3 linked regions of the Cricetulus griseus genome follow. The protein of the gene in region 1 interacts with the protein of each later gene in a biochemical or structural test. Links are inferred from orthologs where the notes say so. Each region holds a gene or a part of one and is shown on either strand. Other genes may lie near its edges.

The links.
Region 2: the proteins of Irf4 (region 1) and Spi1 are reported together in a solved structure, tested with the Homo sapiens proteins (2 studies listed by BioGRID, with this or other methods). The link is inferred for Cricetulus griseus from reciprocal best matches to the Homo sapiens genes IRF4 and SPI1.
Region 3: the proteins of Irf4 (region 1) and Stat6 form a complex in vitro, tested with the Homo sapiens proteins (2 studies listed by BioGRID). The link is inferred for Cricetulus griseus from reciprocal best matches to the Homo sapiens genes IRF4 and STAT6.

What each region holds. Positions count from the first base shown.
Region 1 is NC_048596.1:251,459,430-251,463,076, forward strand, and holds part of Irf4 (interferon regulatory factor 4), read left to right. Parts: coding exon 1-123; intron 124-1,706; coding exon 1,707-1,814; intron 1,815-3,647. UniProt on the Homo sapiens protein: Transcriptional activator. Binds to the interferon-stimulated response element (ISRE) of the MHC class I promoter. Binds the immunoglobulin lambda light chain enhancer, together with PU.1.
Region 2 is NC_048599.1:85,659,799-85,664,066, forward strand, and holds the start of Spi1 (transcription factor PU.1), read right to left. Parts: upstream 2,911-4,268; coding exon 2,862-2,910; intron 2,139-2,861; coding exon of another isoform or gene 2,136-2,138; intron 426-2,135; coding exon 303-425; intron 1-302. UniProt on the Homo sapiens protein: Pioneer transcription factor, which controls hematopoietic cell fate by decompacting stem cell heterochromatin and allowing other transcription factors to enter otherwise inaccessible genomic sites.
Region 3 is NW_023276806.1:130,086,761-130,090,407, forward strand, and holds part of Stat6 (signal transducer and activator of transcription 6), read right to left. Parts: intron 2,154-3,647; coding exon 2,059-2,153; intron 1,957-2,058; coding exon 1,820-1,956; intron 1,518-1,819; coding exon 1,371-1,517; intron 1,178-1,370; coding exon 1,114-1,177; intron 1,017-1,113; coding exon 912-1,016; intron 821-911; coding exon 737-820; intron 1-736. UniProt on the Homo sapiens protein: Carries out a dual function: signal transduction and activation of transcription. Involved in IL4/interleukin-4- and IL3/interleukin-3-mediated signaling.

The sequences.
Region 1 (3,647 bases):
CACCTCATGACAGAAGCTGGAGGGATTATGCCCCTGACCAGTCACATCCAGAAATCCCATATCAGTGTCCTGTGACATTTGGCCCCCGCAGCCACCACTGGCAAGGCCCATCTTGTGAAAATGGTAAGGAATGTGCTAGGGAAGGAGGCAGAAGAACACCCTGGGCTCAGGGTGTGGGCAACTCTGGGTGACCCTCCCAGGCAGCACCACAGGGCTTTCCCCTTCCACAGAGATGCAGAGAGACATCACACGAAGCTTGGGGCTGGGGAGGAATCTTGCCTTGTCCTGTAGGATGCTGAAGTCTTCAGAGCCATGATAGGCATCACTCTGTGTGGAAAATTAATTAAAGGAGCCCAGAAATCATTTCAAGAGACTGAAAAATGCCTGCTCCATTTTCAATAAATAGAGAAAAGCATGGATATTTATTTATAAGTGCCCAATGGCAAAACATGTCAATTATAAAACTTGTCTACTTTTTCTTTCAATTATTTGGTCAACATGTTTTCACCCTCTATAACATTATGCTTTCTTTGTCATATTAGGATGGAGGGATAGATTTTTGTCAGGCTTCCCTCTAAATTGTCCCTTATTACTTACTGGTGGAGAGCCATACCATCTCCCTATCCTATTCCTTTCAACTCTCCTGTAAAGGGACCATACTACAGCTGTGCCCAGGCCACCTCTGCAGAGACTTCAGGAGATCATTGCTAATTCATGTCCCTTGAGGAGTGCTGAGTCATTTGTAGCTGTTCTTGGTACTAAGGAATAACCAGAGCAAAAGTAATCCACAAAACTTCTCTGCAAAGCAGTGCCAGGTTCCAAAAGACCCACAGCACACATGCCCTAGAGGTTAGATGAGCACCCACAGAAGAAACACCAATTAACCGAACACAGAAATTTTCACTGAAGAATGTTCAGTGAAGCTTTGATCATTAGGCATTTATTTAGGCACGTGCACTGAACTACACCCCACACCCCTTTTCAACTGTGTATTTTAAGGGAGAGTCTTGCTAAATTACCCAGGCTCCATTGCTCTTTGACCCTCTTGCCTTGAACTCCTGAGTACCAGGGATTACAGGCCTGTACCACCAGACTGGATATAAAACAAGCTTTTAGGACTTTCAAGTTCATTGTTTTGACACTGTTCACCACTCGTGTGGTCCTTTTATATTATTCTGGGAATAATTTCCTTGTCACAATTTCACCCCCCCTCACCCCCAGAACCTACATTTTATCCATGCTTAAGCTATTCTTGGTTTAATATGATATAACTTCTCTGCTGCCAGGGAGCATGATTCAATTTTCCCCAAAACTTATAAAGGGCAATGAGGATTGGATAATTTATTCATTTTTTAAACTATCCTTATATAAATTTGAACCCTGGCTCTGCTGGGAACTTGCTGTGTGGGCTGGTGCAAACCCCTCTGCTTCTGAGCCTCAGTTTCCCTGTTGACAAGTTATGGATGGAGCTCCATGTTTCCATCCAGAGCTGGGCTGCCATTCCTTCCTCCATCACCCTGTATTTTTCCCACTGAACTTGAAATTTGGCCTTTGCCTCCTAGTCACATGCTCTGCTGGCAGTGGGTGTTTAGAGCCTCTCAAGCTTGAGTTGGAAGGTGACTGGGCGTGGCTCCTCCCAACTCAAGAGCCTCCCTGAACTTGGACTCTCTGTTTAGACATCATCTGATTTTCATTTGCAAATGCAGGTTGCCAGGTGACAGGAACCTTTTATGCTTGTGCCCCACCTGAGTCCCAGGCTCCTGGAATCCCCATAGAGCCAAGCATAAGGTCTGCTGAAGCCTTGGCGCTCTCAGGTGAGTGTAGCGCTTCCTTTAAGGCTCCGAGGGAGGTGGCATCTATCCTCTGGGTAGATTTAGACTCTTGGGTGAGGATTTAGACTCTTACTTTGGAGGCCCTGTGGTCTGGAGCAAACATTGCCCAGGCAGTATGAATATCACAGTAAATAAAGAACACTATTAGAAATCTCTGCTGGAGTACTAGCTAGCCAAACACTATTTGAATGAAGTCATTAACATGTACATCATTACCTACCCAGCTTTCCAGGAATGTGTAGTCAGGCTCCTCCTCCAGCCAACATACTTCACAGTACAGAGAGGCTTAGACAAAGTACAAAGACTTTTCATTTCCAAATGCTGTTTGCCTTTCAGGGTTAGCCAAAAACAGGTGGTCCTGAACTGCTTCCAGGGAACACTGGTTCTGAACCCTGGTTTCTGAGAAATTCCTATGGCCCCAAAGGACCATATTGCTCTGTCTCCCCTGCAACTTCAATAGAATTTCTGAGCTTGCATGGATTTGATCTGATTTTAAAGTTTCATTACTAATTAGAGATACTGCCCTGTTTTAAGGAAGCCCCAACACACTTGAAATATGCATCCAATGTCCATTGAGTCTTTAGATGATTTTTGAACGTTTTCAAATGGAGTTTGAATGGATATTAAAAGTAGCTTGCACATTAGAATTCTCACCACGCCTATGGCCAAGTACATTTTGAATGTTTTAGACACTTCCCTTATTCACAAGGGTGGAAAAAGTCTTGACACCTAGTTCCTTCCAATTCTGATGCTCAAGGAGACTTTGTGAGCCACTTAAGAGCAGAAAAGGGACACTTCTGAGCATCAGGGCTTGTCACTGACTCTAGAAACCTTCAGACCCTCTCTGGAACACCTAAGACTTGTATGGGTGCCCCAAGAGTAGGAAATAAATAGCTATTTATATCTCTGCAATCTTGTGATTCTGGTGACATTAAATGAAATGAAACCTGCCCTACCAGTCACCTCAGATGGCCAATGCCCCCTCTCTTTGGGTGCATTGCCTGACTTACCGTTTATAGCAGCAGAAATGGAAGACACCATGATGTGGGCTGTCTCAGAACCATTGAAGAACACGAGGGTTTTGTGGGTTTCTTTTTCTGGTTTGCATAATTAATGATCAACCCAGAGTGCACTCTTTAGAAAGCTACTCTTTCCAGGCATTGTTTGGGCTCCAGCCACCACATGGGTATCTGTCTCTGCCGGGGAGCCCTTTGCACACCCAGCTTGCCCTTTAAGCTTGTGGGTGGTGTTTTAAAGCGGTTTCTGAAATCAATAAACTCACCCATCAATAAATGCTTGTAGAAGCTACAGCTTCTACAGCTGTAGAAAATATAGTTGTTGGGCTCTTTTCAAAGTTGAACACAGAGTTTAGAGGGATTTCAGGAGATTTAACATTAACTATTGGCTCTTAGAGCATTTTCACATCAATTCCTCCCCCTACCCCAAGAAAACTGACTTAAAATAAGAAAATAAAAGTATTGTTTTTCATAGCCCAGAAGTTGTTATTTTAGTGTTTACCTCCAACATATCTGTGTGGGTTTGTTGTTGTTGTTGTTGTTATTGTTTTGTTTTTACTTAAATGACATCATGGTGACACTTAGGGAAGTTCCAGAGATGTTGACACATTTACTTTTCTTCTGAGATGACTCTGTAGTTTTTACTAGTAGAAATTAATCTTAGAGTTCAACTCCAAAATTAAAATTGATTTGGCTGGAAGATGAATTCCCATTCAGTGGTGTTACTTCATATTTTAGATAAAACGCCATCCAAAAAACCTTCATAACAGAGGTGCTGTCTTGTAAAATTGGGCTGAAA
Region 2 (4,268 bases), on another chromosome or scaffold:
AGTTAGGGAAGGGGAAACCACAATCAGAACATATTGTATGAAAACAAATCTACCTTTTAAAAAAGTCCCACAGGATCAGACAAGGTAAATGAGAAAGAAATGAAATCTGCCCTTGACACAGGGAAGAGGTTCAGTGATAAGGGCTGGGACAGAAGTTGTATAATACAGGGATGAGGCAGCTGCCTTCATCTTATTCTCAGAATTCAAAGTAGCCTCAGGAGTTGTCTCTCTCTAGCCCCGGGCATGCTCATCACCCAGTCCAGGCTGTGATGAGGTACGAGTATGGTGAACACTGTACTCACCACTGTGGCTGTCTCCATCACTGCTCATAAAGGAGTAGTAGTCTTGAGTTTGGCGTTGGTATAGTTCAGGTTCGTAAGTAACCAGCTCTTCCGATGGCTGCAGAGACAGGAAGTTATCAGAGCCTAAACAGTTGAGGACAGTCCAGCAAGATTTTCAGCTAAGTTTGAAGCCCTCAACCTTCCCTGCCTGAGGCACCTGGGAACAACCCAGCCTTTGCTTAGAATCCAGAGTGCCCAGGGATACAGGGATAAGGTGATGGTGGGAGGATCAGGAGAGTGTGTTGGGGCAGTGATGGGCCTGAAAGGTCAGAGGTCAGCAGGTCAGGGCTGAGAAGAGGGTGCAGCCCCCCTTCTCTTCTGCACCCTCACACTTACACTCATGCCTATGGGGCATGTTGCTCTTTCCCATCCACAGCCATGCACCCTTCCCCCAAATGTGCAAACACTCCCTGTGACACACTTACACACAAACCCATATGGGAGCTCGCTCTCACATGTGCACACATTCACTCTTGGGTTCCTGTCTATATCTCACATGCAGGCATTGTGCTCACCCTCTCATGAGCCCCACATGTCACACAACTCTTTCCATCCACTCTCAGGACCAGTCACACTCATAGATACACCACTGTGCGCCCTCCCTGCAGGCATACACAGAGACTGACACACACATGCTCACATAGAATTCCAGTCACCAGTTGGTCCACACAGCCTTTCACAGAGCCACCCACATTCCACCCGCACTCTCGCATGCAGCATTGTGTCTCTCTGCTACAGTCTGCCCAGCCCACTCCTCTCTCACTGTTAGCCTCTGTCAGTTCAGCCCTAGGCAGGCGCAGGACTGTTACAATGACTGTCATGCTGATGATTTACTTATACAAAGGTCACCCAGGCCAGTTTGGGGAGTCAAGGGGCAGAGGGCCTTGACTGTCCCTTCTTCCTCAGTGTCTTTGATGGAAGACTCCCTGCCTGTTACTTTCTCCTCCTCTATCTTCCTCCTCCTTGTCCTCGCCTTCCTGCCTTTCTTCCCTCCCTCCTCTATCTTCCCTCTCTTCTCCCTCTGCCTCCTCCACCTCCTTTCCCCACCCTCTGTCACTTTCTTGGGCACAGGGATATGCACACCGAGCTTTCCGGACAGTCATCCGGCTTCTCCCCACCCCCGCAGAGTATGCCCAAGGATTGCACAATAGTTACTGTGGCCGTCAGGGCTTGCTTGGTGGGGCAGTGCTGCCTTGGGAGCCCACCCACTCAAGAGACACTTGGAATGGCCTCTGGGGCTGGAGACAGGGCCTAAGGAGCTGGTATAGGAGCTCAAGGTCCTCCCCTTGCCGATTTCTGCCTGGTGTTCAGGAAGGAGAGGTCAAGGGTCAGGGAGAGTGGCTTTACTTGGGGCAGAGTGGACCCTCTCTGGGACAACTTCCATCACCCATGCTTGCCCCAGCACCTTCTCCATCCCAGGTGGGAGAAGGAGATCAAGATGGGGGGGGGGACAGGAAGGTCTGGCCAGCCCTGTCTACTATACTGTGAGGGAGGCTCCCTTCCCTAGGTTTCCTGGCAACACACTGGGCCTGGCCCTGTTGCAGGACATTGGCTATGATGTCAGGCCTGGGGTGCCTCCTAGGGCTCTAAGGTTGGGTGGGGTAGAAGAGAGATCTGCCTCTAATTCGGGAAAGCTGAGTCAGGTGGGCAGGCACTGCTCAGCCCTTCCTTGCTGTCCCAACACTTCCAAGGGCAGGAGAAAGCCAGAGGGTTGTCTTCAAGGCACTGTGACTGCCATCTGCCTAAAGCTGCCACTGTCACTGAAAATAGGAGAAACAATGGAGATTTGCCCACCTGCTGTGTCCCTGTCTTGTTCCACCCTAACCGCAGTGGAATACTCAATCTAGGTCCTCCATCGCCAATCTCAGTCTCATTCTGGTCCCAGGCCCACCCTTCACTAAGTTTCTTATTCAGCCCAGCCCTGGCCACAAATCTAGCTGCCATATTTCTGCCGTATGCTCTGCTCTTGCCCAGCCTTGGCCACAGCCCCAGATTCTCAGGTCCATGTAGGCCCAAAGCCCAAATACTTGGATCAACAGCCATGCCTCTATGCCAGGCCCCAAACTGAATGTTGGGGACCCATGAGTGACCCAGAGTTCCACCAGCCTTTGTTTCAAGAGTCCACCGGTCATGGGTTGAAACCTTTCCTGTTGCCTCCGGTGGCCCTTAGGCCAGTTCAGATCTCCATATCCATGGCTTCCCAGTAGCCGCCCTCACCGTCTTCAGCCCAGTACCCTGTCCTAGCATTTGGCCTACCACTGAGCCCCACCTATAAATAGCTGTTCAGGCCCCACCGATCACAGCCCCACCATGGGGCCAGCCGGCAACCCTCAGCCCGCCAGGGCATGCTCTAAGGGAGCCAATGGCCCCTCGCTGGGTCTCAGACCAGCAGCTCCGGGGAGGAAACACCGACTTCCCACTGATAGGGAGCCGGAGAGGAGCGGGTAAATTGGTGGGTTAGTGGGCAGATGGTCACACGTCCCAGGGCCCCAGGCTGAGCAGGTAATGAAGCCCCAGTACTCACAGGGGGGACGAGGGGAAACCCTTCCATTTTGCACGCCTGTAACATCCAGCTGAGCTCCAAGTTGGTCAGATCCCCTGCCTCGGTGGGGATCAGTGCGGATCCCCTCAGGACCAGGTGCCCCGTCGGGGGGCTGGACGGTTGTGGGTCAGACGCAGGGCTCAGGCCTGCCCCCTGAGCTACAGGAGCCCCGGGTGAGCCCCCTCCCTTGACATTGCAGGGCCAGCACAAGTTCCTGATTTTATCGAAGGGCCTGCCACTGGGAGATAGTCCCCTTGGGGTGACATCACCGCCCCAGCCCGTTTGCATAAATCTCTTGCGCTACAGGAAGTCTCTGGCCGGCTGGGGCAGGTGGTGCTCAAAGGGCTGCCCTGGGAGGCTATGGGGCCAGGCCCCCTGCCCAGAGGAAACTGGGGCTGGGAGGGAGAAAGGCTAGCACAACCACGGAAGGCCTCGGTTGGCCCAGTCGCTAGGCCTTCTAAGGTTGTCCACTATTCTTTCAGTCCAATAATACCAATTGCTTCTCAGCCGAGTCATCTCTTTGGGGTCAGAATAGTGACAGCATGGGGTCACTAATTTCTAGAGTGAATCTGGAAGGTGGAGGACTTTAATCCCAAGGCTGTCAGACTTGACTCTTCGTGTAGGCCTTGCAATCTCTGCTAGGTCTACCTAAACCACTCAGGGCCCACAGTAGACCTTGGGTCTACTAGCACCTTGTATCTCTTTTCTTGGTGCCTCAAGTGGGCTTCTCCTTCGCCTGGGAATGGCCTTGGCTTTTCATATCCTCCCCTCCCAGCTAAGTACCACAGCTGCGTCCAGATCCCTAGAGACAGTGTTCCCAGCCCAGATTTCTCAATTTCCCCAACCCTGGAATGTCGATATCCATTTAGTCTTCCTAGTTTATAATTCCTCCTTGTATGTTCATCCTTTTATCTGTTTTCCTATCCTTATCTCTTTCTGATTGTCTGTTCATCTTTCGACCCATCATACCAGCCATGCATCTACTCATCTATCTGTTCATCCAGCATCCATCTGCACATACATTCTTCCACACACATATCCATCTCTTCACTTAACCTACGTATCCATCCATTCGTCTGCCTATCTATTTATCTCCCTGTCTATCTATCCATCTACTACCACTCCACTTCCATCCATCCATCCACCTCCCTATCCATCAGTCTGTCTACCCATCCACCTAGTCACTTATGGTATCTGTCTGTCCCATTCATCCACCCATCCACTTACTATCACTGATCTGTCTACCCACCAGTCTACCTATCTATCCATCCATGCATGCATCTTCCAAATGTCAAGTGAACTCCAAACTCTATGCTGAATCCCAGGAACATAAAAAGGTTTCCTGCCTTTCAAAGATCCAGTGTAGAAGGCAGAGCGATGAATAG
Region 3 (3,647 bases), on another chromosome or scaffold:
GCCTTATCCTGACTTGGCATTTCACTGACTAGCATTCCCTCATCAAGCCATTTCTGTGATCCTACATTAGATTTTTCCCCTGAGAAATGGTGTGTGTGTCCAACCACCAATGTTTCTTTTTTTACTTCCTTTTTTTTTGAGACAGGGTTTCTCTGTGTCATCCTAGCTGTCCTGGAACTCACTTCTGAAGAAATGGCTGGCTTTGAACTCAGAGATCTGCCTGCCTCTGCCTCCCTAGGGCTGGGATTAAAGGTGTGGCCACCACCGCCCGGCCCAATGTTTTCTTGAGACTGAATTGTGGTTCTGTTTCCCAGGCCCACTCTACATCAATTCCTAGGAAGACAGAAAAGCCCTTGACTCAGAGCTGATTAAGCAACTTAATGCTACTTGGGGAAGAAAAAAAGTCTAGGCCGTTTCTAGGATCATGAAGATTAGCAGATTAAAATCATCACATCCAGGCAGGCGGATCTCTGTGAGTTCGAGGCCAGCCTGGTCTCCAGAGAGAGTGCCAGGATAGGTTCCATAGCTACACAGAGAAACTCTGTCTCAAAAAAAAAAAAAAAAAAAAAAAAATCACATCTGCTGGGATGTATCTCAGCGGCAGAGCACACGCTCGGCATATATTCAGTCCTTAGCCCTAAACTCAACCCCCAGCATCACAGCTATCAAGCAAACACACAGCAAGTGCTGGCCATTGGATGCTGCCCCATCTCACCCTCCATGGGGTCTGACTTACTCCTGGAAGGCTGGAAGTACATTGATTGACTCTTCCAGGGGGAGGTTTTGAAATGAGTGGATGGAATGAGACGGTGGAGGGTACCTGAGGAAAGAAAGCAGACCCTGATGCAAGTCCTTCCCCTGATAACCCCGTTGGCAGGCGCCGGCCCCTCCTTGTCTCTCAACCTTCTTACCCCATATCTGAGCTGAGTTGCATGGAGGTATCGGAGGCCATTCCAAGATCGTAAGATGGCACTGTGGTGGGCATATGAGGCTCTGGAGTAGGAAGAGGCTGGTCTCTGACAGAGAGGAAGAAGCACACGTGACTGCCACTCCTTCCTGCAGATACAAGTACCAGTCCCCATCTCCACCCGCTACCCCCGCCATAGCACTTACCGTTCCACAGTCATCTTGATGGCAGTCGATACGTAACCCCTCCCGTCCTTCCCCATCTGTTCAGCTGTGGTGGGAAGGACAGAACTATGGTGTGTCACACTATCAAGGAGGTGGGAAGGAGGAAGGTTGATGGGCAGGTGGAGGCGGGGCTACAGAAATGGGAGGGAAGACAAGAATAACAGCAGCAGGCGGAAAGAGGGGTATGGCTGGAACAGGGAGAAAGTGGGTGACAGGAGGGATCAGAACCGCCCGCTCACGCTTATAGTGGCTCCGGAAGGCCTCATCCTTGGGTTTCTTGGGGTAGAGGTTTTTCAGCTGAGCAAGATCCCGGATTCGGTCTCCCAGTGATCGAATGGACAGGTCTTTAGCAGAAAATGGCTGGATGTTTTCTATCTGTGGGGCGCCTACAAGAGGAACGAGACCCTGAGGTCTCCTCTGTCCAAACGTCTCTTCCCCCAGCCCCACACAAGTCCCATTCTCAACCATCATGGCATATGAGAGAAGGTCTAGCCTGGAAGGTCTTGCGTGAAGGACACCCACTCATCTCCATTGCCATGGGAGTAGAAGGTTAGACCATAGGAGGGCAAGAAGCCAGACCTAAAGAAGAACTTCCTAAAGATCAGGCGGACATCAAGGACCACCAGGGCATTTCCTTCCCCAGAAGCCCAAGAGAACACAGCAGTCAGGGCTGGCTGTGGAGACTCACCATCCTGACCCCGAATGACATGGGCAATGGTGATGCCGCCAATCTCAGAGTCGCTAAAGCGGAGGAGGAAAGTTCCATCTGGCTCGTTGAGGAGAAGGCTTGTGACGTACTGTTTGCTAATGAAGCCGATGATCAGCCTGGGCAGAGTGAAGGAGGAGACACGGATGGGGATGTGGACACTGGGGTAGGCGAGGGAGACACAGGTACAGGTGAGTGGCCACCTGGGGTCAGGGACTCACCGGTCTGACCAATAGCTCCGGAGACAGCGTTTAGTGAGGTCTAGGACACCATCAAACCACTGCCAGAAAGTGAAGCCTCGGCCCAACAGGATCTCCTGAAGGGTGGAGAAGAGCAGAGGTGAGTACGGGAGGGGCTGAGCTGGAGCTAGCACAGAGCTGAGAGCTGAATGTCGATGGTGGAGGACCAAAGTGACCTAAGGCCCATCTGTGGCAACCACTCACCTTGACTGCCTTGGACATTCCTTCAGGCTTTTCTGTATACTAATTTATTTGGATATAACAGTAACTCTGGATATAACATGGTCATCGTTACAATTGACTGGATGTTGAGGAAAGCGACTTCCCGAGGTCCACACGACTGATGAAGGACAGGGTTTCTCTGTGTAACAGCCCTGGCTGTCCTGGAACTCACTCTGTAGACCAGGCTGGCCTCGAACTCAGAAATCCACCTGCCTCTGCCTCTCAAGTGCTAGGATTAAAGGCGTGTGCCACCACCATCACCACCCAGCCAGAGTGGAGATTTAAGTCAAGCAGTTTAGCATGGGAGTCCCTCATAACCACTGTGCTAAATTCTGTCCTCAAGGGGGCCTGGTAAAGGTCCATTACAGCGGAATGATTGTCTACAACTGTCCCACGTCCTGTTCCCTTCAGTAATGTATTCTCTGGTTACATGACCTTCTCCCCACCCTCCATATTTTGTTTGTTGGAAAGAGAAAAGACCTAAAGTGGGAGCCAGGGGAAGGTGCTGCACCAGGAGAGATGACTTTAGCATTGGTTAGGTTTCTGTGCGTAACGACCACCAAGGGCAGAAGCACGTGATTTCCTCTCTCTGTTCTTGTAACCGATTCAGTCCTGAGCCATCTCATTTTGGAGACAGGAAAATACAGTAACTGATATGAAAAGTCAGAAATACAGGGCTCCTGTTGGGCATGGCTGCTCATGCTGGTAAATTTCTGGACCTAGGCTGGAGGCTAAGGCTGGAGGCATTTGAGGTCAAGGCCAGCCTGGGCTATACAGTGAATATGAGGTTGGCCTGAGCTACATAGCAAAAGAAAAAAGAAATCTGGGTTTCCACCATAGTTGGGTCACTTGGTGTGAGACCTTGAACAAACTACAGGCTTGTCATCTGCAAAAGACACACAAATATCACCTACCCACCCGAAAGGGATGTTGGACAGACGGATCAAGATAGTTAACACATAAAGTGTGAAACTGTGCCTGGTATGTAGTAAGCAGTCAGCACATGGCAGCAGTCCTGTACCACACGGTCTTGTGTGATTTCACCCAGATTTTGCAATAGACTACTTTTCTAATGGGTCAAAGTCATTTTTTTGAATCAGAGCTCTGTTTGCACACAATCGGACTGAATCATTCAAATCACTAAAAGAAAGAAAGAGAGAAAGAAAGAAAGAAAGAAAGAAAGAAAGAAAGAAAGAAAGATAGGCCCCCAGACCAAAACTAAGGGATGCCAGAAAATGCCACAGAATGGAAGAGTTTTCTCTCTGGGCCACGTCATGATGGAGGCACTGTGAAGACCCTAAAAGTCTATTCCTGAGTGGGGGTGGGGGGTGGGGGTGGGGATGGGGCTA